2 linked regions of the Saccharomyces cerevisiae S288C genome follow. The gene in region 2 interacts genetically with the main gene of each other region. Each region holds a gene or a part of one and is shown on either strand. Other genes may lie near its edges.

What was found. Genes that interact genetically often act in the same process or in processes that back each other up.
Region 1: mutations in CMR1 (region 2) and RPS0B impair growth when combined (synthetic growth defect), as found in Saccharomyces cerevisiae (2 studies listed by BioGRID, with this or other methods).

The regions. Positions count from the first base shown.
Region 1 is NC_001144.5:240,370-245,304, reverse strand, and holds RPS0B (40S ribosomal protein uS2 RPS0B), read right to left. Parts: upstream 3,074-4,935; coding exon 2,984-3,073; intron 2,625-2,983; coding exon 1,956-2,624; downstream 1-1,955. Other genes in the region: MLO50 (Mlo50p), read left to right, coding at 133-1,419; FRE8 (putative ferric-chelate reductase), read left to right, coding at 3,898-4,935.
Region 2 is NC_001136.10:172,299-179,470, reverse strand, and holds CMR1 (Cmr1p), read right to left. Parts: upstream 4,554-7,172; coding exon 2,985-4,553; downstream 1-2,984. Other genes in the region: MutS family protein MSH5, read right to left, coding at 1-1,137; B-type cyclin CLB3, read right to left, coding at 1,415-2,698; DMO2 (Dmo2p), read left to right, coding at 4,883-5,239; mitogen-activated protein kinase kinase STE7, read right to left, coding at 5,443-6,990; YDL159W-A (uncharacterized protein), read right to left, coding at 7,158-7,172. UniProt on the Saccharomyces cerevisiae protein: DNA-binding protein that binds to both single- and double-stranded DNA. Binds preferentially to UV-damaged DNA in vitro. May be involved in DNA-metabolic processes.

The DNA.
Region 1 (4,935 bases), on a different chromosome or scaffold from region 2:
ACTGAGCCATAACCAAGCGCACGCATACATATATATATATATATATATTGTGCTGCACGTATATATAAATAAATCACGCGTACAAGGATACGTTAGCCAAATTCTTTGGATATAACAAAACAGCTACAACTCATGGTTAATAATATCATGCACGAGTACGTACCACCCAGTCAGCGGCTATTCCATAGCAGGCATAGAATAACAAGAAACGATTTGAAAGAAGAGGCCCTACATTCCGGGACCACAGATTGGACAACAATTCTGGACACAACAATAGATAAAGATACTAATCTCATTAGTTATGCTGTCCCCATAATAGACAACTTTGCCATTCCTCGAGCAAACTCTCAGGGGAGTCCTGTGGCCCCTTCGCCGAATCACAGATCAACGATGTACTCTTCTTCATCTTCTTCTGCGTCTTCTGTGTTTTCTGATGGTTTGTTTACTCCAAACAACAACAGGAACTCATCAGGATCATCTTCATTAGTCATTAGACCACAAAAAAATTTGAGTGTAGATTCTTTGATTCAGGAAAATAAAAGGAAAATCAATAGTGAAAAAGAATCGTTATCATTAATTGCCAATAATAACGATGAAACCTTGTGCACTCATACTGATCCATCCATACAAAACCTCATTAAATCGGAAACAAAGAGGAACATCTTAAATTTAAAGTTTCAAAATAGAAACTTATTTCGAAGAGAACTAAAATTGGAAAAGTTTTGGAGCAATTTGAGAAGTTGTCATACATCTGGCGATGAGACGGACCTGCTGTTGGTGATAAGTAAGCATAACTTATATTGGTTTGGGATACCGAACGATTTTCGTCTTCCAATATACAAGAGATGTTTATATCACTATAGCGAACTAGACGAAGCCGGATTTTTCAGTCAGTATGCGAACAACTCATTGTATCTAGCAATAAGGAAATGTTGTAACAACGAAGAGCAGGAAACTCTATCCCGGTCTATTTTCATCAATTTGACGAAAAACGTTACCTGGTTGAATAGTCGTTTCGATGACAATAAGGACAACAAGAATTCTTACACGGTTACTGAGGGGAAGTTCTATCAGGACTTTCCTAACTTATACTACCATTTAAAGGACAAGTTGAAATTAAATGTGATAATGGATTTCATCAAGCCTGTAATAAGAAATTTTATGACCAACGCATTGAATAAGCACAAATTAGATGGTATTGGTCTAGAACTTTTAGATATTCTAATAGTGACTACCTATTATGGTCCGAATAAAATCAATGCTTTCTTAATGGATACATTTATCTTAAACTTGCTAAAACAGTGCCATTACAAGTTTTTTGTCAGTAATATCTCTGAGCTGGTTATTCAAATTTCTAAAATCGATTGTGACTTAGTCATTCTGCTAGAAGATTTAAGGTCACGGATTGATTTAGATTGAGCAAGGGGTAAGAGAGAAGGCAGGTATTTCTCCTGGAAGAATATATATATATATATATGTATAACGAAAGCAAAATAAATACTCGGGTGAACCCGTCATGGCGAATAGTGCAAATTTAATTAATAATAAAAATGAAATATCAGAACTAAACATTAATTTAACTTATCTTCAATACTATAGATAGTCAGCCTTCCCGCTAAAGAATTTAATTATTGAAACCACTTACCTAATAAAAAAAAAAGCGTAATAATGGCCAAATGACTTGAATATAAAAGGACAAAAGCATAAACTTTTAAAATATTATAATTTTTGAATTTGGTTAAAAATTTTTATACTATGATTGCATTAAAAATACAGATAGATGATGACGCTTCAGAGAGAAGCAAATATATATGAGATAAAGATAAACGATAGATGAATTTAAAAAAAAAATGAAAAAGAAAAATTAGAAAAGGAAGTGATACTTCTGTCTCTTTTTTTATCTCTCTTTCTCAATTCCTTACAATATTCACACACATTGCAAGGTTTTCAAATGATTACCATTCAACGTTGTCTGCATTTTCTTCAGCCCATTCAGTAGCTTCAGCTTGACCTTCAGTGACTTCTTCCTTAACTTCTTCTTCTTCACCTTCTTCAGCGGCAGCAGCTTCTTCAGCAACTTGCTCAACTTCTTCTGGGTTTCTGTAGAAGTACAAATCTGGCATGATGGACCATGGTTGAGTTCTGTCGACCAAAGCACCTCTTAGTCTCAAAACTTCTCTAGCCAACAAGTACCAGATTAAACCGATGGAGTGCTTACCTCTGTTGTTACATGGGATGGCGACATCAACAAATTCAGATGGGGAGTCCAAATCAGTCAAAGCAATGACTGGAATGTTAACGTAAGAAGCTTCCTTAATGGCCTGAGCGTCTAATCTTGGGTCGGTAACAATAACCAATCTTGGTTCCTTGAAAGAACGGGTGATGTAATTAGTGAAAGAACCTGGAGTGAATCTACCGGCGATTGGAGTAGCACCAGTGTGAGCAGCAAATTTCAAGACAGCTCTTTGACCGTAGGTTCTGGAAGAGATGGCAACAACATCTTCTGGGTTTGGAATGGCAGCAATAATTCTAGCAGCCAAAACCAACTTTTCCCAGGTCTTACCAACATTGATAACGTGAACACCATCTGGTCTAGCATTGAAAACGTATGGTTCTTGGTGGACCTAAAAAAAGAGAGGAAAGATAAATTATGTTAGTAAGAGCGTTCATTTGTGCATATATAATGTTTTCTTCCATATCCAATAAAGTACCGAATTATATCCCGTGGAATTTTTTGACGTTTTACTGTTTCATCGGAGTTCATAATCTTTGACACAGTCGAGGATGTATATTCTTATTGAGTTTCTTCTCCTTACCCTCACTAAGAAGTGAAATTCTAACTCTTCTAAACCCGGCGTGTTCAAAATTCCTCTGAAATTACCTTTGGTCCTCTGACCTCCAAATATGATTAAATCGGGGACATATTCTTTTCGAGACCTATTATCATCTATAGAACATAATCGTATGGGATATGTGTACATACTTGAACGTTTCTAGCACCTAAATGGGTGTTAGCGGCCAACAAAAGTTGGGCATCCTCTGGAGTCAAATCAAAAGTAGCTGGTAAAGACATTATCCTATCAGTATCTTATCTTATCTCTTCTTGTGCTATTTCGGTATTCTAAATTACACACTTAATAACTCGCGATTTTTCAATACGAGGATTCAAACTTGATCATATTATTTTTACAGGAACTAGAGAAGGTGATGTTCCCTACCACGAACCTTCTTACTGAGTGTTGCAGTCCTTCCATTCCATCTTTCCAGCTCCTCCCGCGTCCGTCAACCTCCAGCGGGACCCTCGTTCGAAACAGCACAAAGGTTCGGTGACCGTGCCCTGGAACTTCCGCCTAGCGCACTCAATTTCGCCTTGGTAAATTTTTCAAAGTAGGCGGAAAATTAAAGTAGCGCCATTCCCATAAAGAAGTGACAAAGGCCTTTAAGAAATAGGTAAAATTGTCATGAATGCATGGGTTTACATTTTATATGTACGGATGTAAAAAGGGAAATATTAAAAGTGTTGAAAACGTAATGCCCAAGCTCTTTTTTGTTATTGAAAAAGAAAAAGGGTGCAAATAACATGTATGAACTACGCATGGCAGCCATTATGCATGTAAAATAAGTAATAAAATTTAAGTTTAGGGTAAAAACGTTTGGTGGTATCCGTTATGGAAGATTAACACTCTGTACAGCCTCAATTTCTTTTTTATTTCCCTTCAAATTTAGGTGGAAAAAGAAAAAGCTAGTGTTGATCTCTTATTTTTGCCAAGCTTTTAATTATCACGTTGCCACTTTAACAGTTTTATTACATCTACATCTCTTCAGATTAAATCGTTAAATTACAATAGAAGTTCCGCTAAAAAAGTTTACTGTATTTTATTTATTGTTATTTTCAGCATGAATTTAAAGTCCATCGTTAGCTGGTTCAAGGAACATCTTCCCAGTTTTGATGTCGACGTGGACAAGCATTTTAGAACTTTAAGAGTCCGCAAATATTCTCAGATATGTCTTTTAATTTCTTTCATTATAATATGTGTTATTATACCCTTAATGAATTATTTGTTGCTAACTGACAAATTCTTCAAAATATGTCACCATTTAAAGCATCATGTTTTCAACAGAAGATCATGGGTTCACAAAACACATATGTATCACAAACAGTCACTACAACTATGTTTAATATGCTTTGTTTTCACCTCGTTTTTTGTTATACAAGGCGCTAACGGAGATCTGTTAGAAATTACTAAGCGAATGGGGAGAATTTCCGTTGCTTTGATGCCACCTTTACTATTTCTAACGTTGAGGCCATCACCGTTACCTCACACGTTATACTTAGCATTGTTACCTCTCCACAAATGGATTTCCAGAATTGTTGTGCTTGAATCTATTCTACACACGTGGTTCTATCTCTATTACATGTACATTAATGATACGTTATACGTGAAAATGAGAAAACTACCCAACATTTATGGGGTTATTGCCCTCGGCCTTTTCCTACTGATTGCCATCACCTCTGTGAGATATGCCAGACGATGGAGCTACAGAGTTTTTTACTATGTTCACTATGTAAGCACATGGCTTATTTTGGTGTTTCTACATTATCACGCTCGCCCAGGAATTTCATATTATACCACTTTAAATGTGCTCATATTAACGGGACAAATCGTCTATAGGCTCCATATCACCAATGTTACGAGAGTTACGATAGTACCCATTTCTTCATCATTGTCTCTTTTGGAGTTCCCATTAACCGATTTACCCAAAAAGCCCATCCTACCAGGAGGGCATCTAAGGATCAACATTTACCATAGAAATTTTTTAAGGAGGTTTTTCTCCCATTTGATACCCTTCCAACATCCTTTTACTATTGCTAGTATTCCAAGTGATAATTTGGTCAGGTTAATTATTAGAAACGGGCATTTTCCATTGCGTACA
Region 2 (7,172 bases):
TTTCAAGGACGACACCAGTTGAAATATAGCTATTCCTTTTTCTAAAAAACTTGCAACCTTGGACCATGTCCCTAATGTCGATTTACCACTTCTTAACTGATTTATAAACCCAAAAGCGTCTGGACATCTTTTTATTGATTGGCTAAGGTCACTAAAAATGATGGCGTTTTGTTTATCCAATAAGGTTCTTATGATGCTGTATCTTGTTTCTATCCGTTTTTTATTGGTTAATGGGTTAATAAGCCAAGACTTCAAAATTCTCCTGGCGTAGTCCGAAGACACTTGATTGAATAGTTCAAATACACTAAAGAAACCATTTCTCATCATCTTATCATGGCCCAGTTTATGAGCTGTTGGAAAAATATGCAAAGCCGATATAGTATTTTCATCCAGTACCATCCGATCCCTTATGTCGATATACCTTATGCCATGTATCACATCTTCAAAAGCATTCTGAACTAATCGTCCTGTTACCATATTACTTGAAGCAGTACTGTCATTGTATTCACCAAGTTGTTCATGATTTGCAAGGATGCATCCCACTGTACCTAAGGTGACTGTGGTGGTAAATTTGCTATTTGATAATATGTCGTTCAATATAGTCTGATTATCATGACCCCTTAACTGCAATGACTGCAATAAGTCCCATTTTTTGAAACGTTTTATTGGTTGTAGTTCTAGCCTACAGTTTATCTCATCGCATTTTGTCTTAATGTAGTCGAAAATCCAATCCTCCAATCTTGCCGGCACTAGGCATACAGTTGGGTTTGCTTCCATTATTAAAAGTCCAAGTAACAGACTTATGTCGTTTGAAGACATATCTGCATCATCGATAAGATCATGAGACGAAATTGTTGTTTTATTGACCACGTAGTCCTGGTCAAACGCTTTCAAAGTCTTGGTATGATAATCTAAAATAGAACACCCGAGTTTTCCTCCAGAAAAGTCAATACACATTACAATCTCCTCGTCAAAATCGAAGGAGAAAATGGTAGAGCTATCCTCTTCACGATTTGTATCACCTTCGTTAAATTCTCCGTCATTGTTGGCAACGACAGCACCTTTATCCCGCAAACCTTCCCCATTACCAATGCTTCTCATTGTTTCCGATGCGCTTATGAGCCATTCATGGGACATATTCCATTTGGTGGCAGTATATGAATGAGTAAGTTATTTTGAATGAGTTGTTTTGTTAACCTTGATTTTAGCTTCAATTTTTTAATAATTAACCGCCGAGCTAATTTCGCGTCATATCCATATGGATTGTGGATGCTTTAAAAAAAGTACGGAGATTAGTATGTTTTAAGGTTAAAAAGTTACATATGTTTATTACTGATGATTAAAGTTTTTGTGTGCAAAAGACGGTAATGAATCCTTTTTCCTTTGTTGATGCCATGTCTCGAGCTGAGGCTTTTTAGTTAGATCTTTCTACTCTGTGTTCAGCTAATGCTATCCACTTCGCTACGATCTGTGAAGAATGCAAATAACGACGTGAAGAATATTTTCTCCATATGGCGTTATGACGTTTAGAGGCATATCTGCAATTTTCTAAAATAATGGTGGCCAACGGAAGAATTTGTTCTTGTGTATAATTGGAATAGTAGACGTGCGCCAGAGACCACTGATTTTGGCCCAGAATAATCTTACTTAGAAAGTATGCACCGGCAGCTAACCAACTAGGTTGAGCGGAAACCAGTCGATGGTCCATTATTGTGGATTCCAATAGATATTTGGCCAGTGTTCTCGTATCATGCTCGTAATCGTCTGCCTTACTGATTCTTCGTAAAAATGACATCGGACCAGGCCAACCCAATTCAAATTCTAAGCCGTTCAAAATAGTTCTTTCTGCGTCCAGCAGGTCGTTCCTTGAGTAGCAGTTTTCTGACATGTATACGAAATCCTTGATTGTAGGACAGTTGATTTCCTCATATTTAGCAGCAATGAAGAGTGAGGCTGCACCCACAAGTTGGAACTTATTTACAGGAACAACTTCTTTGCACAGATATCTGTCTATTATATTAATGCAGAGATATAGAGTTTCAGGTAAAAGTTGAAATTTTTCATGTACTTGGACGATCCAATCAATCAGTGTGCTTCGAAACGACCATCTTAACTCTGGTTGTTTATCCATGTAGTACGGGTTGGGTTTATACAGGTCTTCCAATTTCCTCATATACTCGAATATCTCATTAGATAATTCGGCAACCATGACCACATCGTACACGTCATCATCATTGGGATCTAATGTAGTTCTATAGTAAGTTCTAAATGCATGCTCCCAGACCAATGTATCACTAGCATAATGTTGCAACAGTAGAGGCTCCTGGTCTTCTTCTTCATCCTCTTCGCTTTCTCCGTCGTCTTCAACGGGTTCCTCTTGTTCCCTGTCCGTTAACAAATCGTTATGATCAGCTTCTTTTCTCTGTGCAACACTATTCGCATCCAGCCTTTCTTCCTCAATTATCGCAGCTGAATCCAATCTTTCTTTAATTGGGGCGACTTTTGGCTTACTTATGCTGTTGTTGCTAGAGTTTGTCGCAACTATATTGGTAACGTCGCTAAGTGCGACCCTCGGGTGCGCAGATGAAATATGACTGAGGGATCCAGTCCTGTGTTTAAGATTACCTATAGGTGCCACATTTTCATCCTCGGGGCTCCTGATGTGTCCAGAGCTCAAAGACTGTGAGTTATGATGCATTTATAATAAGCAATGATAAAAAGGACAAAATATCTCTATGTTTTAAAGCGAAGGACAGAAACAATAAATAGCTTTTTCTCTGCAATTTTCTTTTCTTTTCTTCTAAGCAAGCAGCTAAAAATTTCTGATCGTTTTCTTTCGACCGGATCAAAAATGTTTTTATGTGTCCATGTTCTTGCATTTCAATATTTTTGTTTTCTTTTGTTTTGTTTTGTTCCTTCGCTTGTCGCCTCGTTCTGCTGAAAAGCGGGAGAGAAAAAAGGCAGTGCGGGTAACTGAGATGTTTTCATTCTTCCTGCTTTATGGTTCCGGAGTCATCAGTAAAGAGGAATATTTTGCCGCTAGAATTACCACCTGCAATCCAGTTTCGCAGCGGGTGCCAACTAATTACAGCTGGGACAGTAGCTGTGGGTAGGTGAGCCAGTTGCTGGCCTTCGCTGTTGTATATGTCGATGGCGCGCTTCATGTTAGCTATTGCAAAAACATTCTTGTTCGGCTTGAACCTGGCCTTGAGGATGCTTGTCCATCTTCCTGTTTGGCAATTGTGCTGAATCGTTAGTTTGGGCTCCAACTTCGCAGAAAGGTGATCCCTACTCTTGACATCGAATAAGCGGATGGTATCGTCATAGCCATTGCACACTAAGGTGCCATCTGTCGGTGAGTAAGAAACTGCAGAGACGCTCAATCTTGAGTCATATGTGGAGACAATTTCATGACTGGGATAGTCTTCATATTGTGACCACTCTGGCTTTTTAACAAGGTTTCTTGTATCCCAGATTTTGAGTGTTCTATCAAGTGATCCGGTGGCAATCTCGTAGGGTCTCATGGGATTTATTGCCATAGACCCGATCTTCTTGTCTGCGAGTCTTCGCAGATTATACTCTGATTTTTTTACTCTTGTGTCAAACGTGGTGAATTCACCACCTAATGTGGTGAGGAATAAAACATTTGGGTTTTCGTAGCTAAACTGGCAATCGCTGATACCCAGTGAATCGTCATATTCATTTTTCAAGGTGAGAACCTCTTCACTCTGTAAGTTATTCAAGTGAACTGACCTGATGCTTCCGTCGTAAGAGGTGAGCAATATCTTCGATGTGTCCGCAGGGAAGCAATCAATACGGCCGACGTTTTTGGTAAATAGTTTCACTCTGGTGATATCGGGTTCTTCCATTCGGTCCTCTTCGCTGTCAGCTAGTGGTTCATCTCTAACGTTCCAAAAACCCACAGTACCGCTTGTATCACCTGCAATTATTAGCTTTTTTTCCATAGCAGGATGGAAGTAAGTGGCAGAGATTCTTTCGTATGTAATCTTAATTTCGTTCGGTTGAAAAACGTCATATAGATCCAAATCAAATTCGTCCATCCCCGTAACGTCACCCTGTCTCTTTTTTATTTCTTCAAAGAAATCACCAGAAGAAAAGTTTCCGTTATTAAACCTCTTGAATTTCTCTAAAAGGGCACTTTCGTCTTCATCCTTGATCAGATCACTTAATTTCACATCTCCTATTACAGGTTTCTCCTTTATTGCGTCTATAAAATTCTTATCCTGGCCATCTGGAGAACCCATTTTAAGCAACTGATTATCGTTCACATTGGGTATTCCTTTCACATCGTCTGCAGACTCACCCCTTAGCCTTCTTGATCTTCGTGTAGGTAAAGTGGGACTCGCAGACTTGGTTGCTCTGGTATTAGTTGTTTTTTGTTTCTTTTTTGCAGGAGCTCTAGATTTTTCCAACACCCCAGCCTCGTGCTTAATTTGAGATGCTACTCCAGACAAATGGAGTTTTTTCAATAAATCGTTATTCCTTTTGATGTTCTCTAAACGTTTTTTCTGAAATTCTGTTAATTCCGGCATTCTTGACTGAAAAGCAGCTTTCTTTTAATTGCCGTACTAAAATAGATCGCCTATTGTGTACTATTGACGACAAATGCAAGATTAAAGGGTTTTTATCTTCTCTTTAACAATTGTTCAAATATACATTTACCTCTTTTGGCGTTATTATAATTGTAACATGTCAGAAATTGAACATTAACAAAAAACGCGTAATATGGGGTCCTCGGGTGAAAAATTAACGATGGGCTTTTGAAAAAAGGTACGAGCATATAAAGCGAGTACAGTCATTGTGTGCCACCAAGTAGGAAACAAAACACCGCTTAGAGAGAAACAGCAAGTGGTGAAAAACAATGAGTAATATTTTGGCAGTGTTCAACCCTCCACCACAAAGGGAGCTGGAAAAAGAAGAGACTATGGATTGCGTTCCTTGTCAAGTCATGAGCACTATGTTTTCTGTTGGATTTGGCTCATACTTGGCATCTGGGAAACCATTCAAGTATGGTAAAAAAGAAGCCAAAAGAGGCATTTCTCTGACTGAATTTGAAAAAAGAAACCCACAATGGTGGAAAGTAACTTTACGTAGCTTCGGTGGGTTATTAATCGCCTTCGGTTTCGTTAGAGGAACCGAAGGTTGGTTGTGGCATAAAAATAAAGAATATAAGAACTATAAGAAATTAAGTAACGATGGTGAAACACAGGCTAACTAGTATTATTCGCAAGCTTCTCTCAATCGTGAAATTTTCTGTACATAAAGTGCTACTTTGATGATTATTTTTAAAAATATTGTTACATTAGAAAATTGGTTTGTGATTTACATAATCAGGAGAGTCTATATATATATGAATATAGCTTTGAGAAAGGGATGTGAAAAAAAGTGCAATATGTTCCTAACTAATGTTATCGCATGCATTCAATGGGTTGATCTTTCCGATTGTTTCTTTTCTAACTTGGCACGGTCCAAGGCTTCTCTTTTAATTCTCTTGTCTTCCTTTATTTTAGATTTTATTTTTCTACACCAATGTCTAAATTTATCATCTTTAGACGGTGATACGTATTTCATTATAAGATCATGATGTAGCAATTCATGAATCGATGACCTTTCCCTTTCATTCTTAATACAACACCTATTGACAAAATCTGTCATTTCCTTGGAATAGATACGGTCTTTGGGTAATCTTGGTGAAGGCTCGTTGACAATACGTTGCAGCAAATCCAATATGCCATCAGGTGTATCGTTATGCCCACCTAGGGGAAACTCTCCAGTTACCAGCTCGATGATCATTAAGCCCAATGACCAAACGTCCCCTTTGATAGAATAAACGTTTCCTTGTATCCTCTCTGGTGACATATAAGTGGACGTTCCAACAAATGTATCAGCGATAGAATTTATTAGTTTTTTGGAAACTCCAAAATCACATAACTTAATCTGCCCCTTACTATTAATCAGAACATTGGAAGGCTTGATATCACGATGAATGATCTTATATTGTCGGTACAAATGATCCAAGCCATTTAGTACGCCATACGCTATTTTTGATATTGTTAATTCGTTGAACCAGGTTTTCTTACTCGAAACAGTCCCTCTTTGAACAAACCTTTTATAAACGGACAGTATTTTATCTAAAGAACCACAATCAGAGTATTCCATTAAAATTATGATTTCATTATTTATATGCTGGTTATAATAAGCTCCATAGAAGGTGATAATGTTTTCATGGGGCTTAACGTTTTTGACGATAGATAATTCCCTAACTAATTGGTTGATGATTGTACTGTTATTCTGTTCCACAGGAATGGTTTTTTTGGCAACTATTTTGGAATCAGGAACATGTAGTGCCTTCACCACAGTTCCAGAATTTCCAGCACCAATTTTCCCCAACTGAACCAAGTCCTGGAGTTGTATATAATTACCATTTGAAGTTCCCGACAACGTATCTTTCAGATCTGCTGCGGCTGGCGATAGGCTTTCCTCCAAAGGTGGTAGTGATATCGAATGTTCGTTTTCAACTGGTGTTGCAATATTGGACAATCCCTGAATCGTAGAGGGAGTAGAATTCGTGGATGATGGCGATAATCCGAAATTATTACTGTACGCATCTATAATGCATGGCGTGGACAAAGATGATGATGATGATACACACGGGGATTGTGATAGAGAAGACAGAACTAAAACAGGTTCATTTTGCGGTTGCTGTATTACCACAGTGTTTGGTTTCGATATAGCTTGGTCATCACCAAACGCATCCAACGTCAGTTTTTTTTTTATGCCTCTTCGCAAAAACAGGTTGCTATTATTCTGTATTGCATTAATGTTAGACATCACGTGGCCTTCTATTCGAGATTGTCCCTGGTGAGTCTCTGTCTTTTCCTGCAATTGGCCATTATTGCCCACATCTGGGTGCAGGTTAAGATTGAGCCCTTTCAAGTTCCTTCTCTGTAAAGTCTTTCGTTGAAACATGACCAACAACCAATATACCACGCTGCAAAAACAGATATGATCCGATGCAGTTTTCTTATCATTAGTGTCGCTTCACATTAACCTGTAGGTCTTCTAATCCATCAGATGGGCCAATAATAGTATGATATCGCCGTTACCCCACGAATCACTTATAACGAGGACAGTGATCAAAAAAGGGAGGG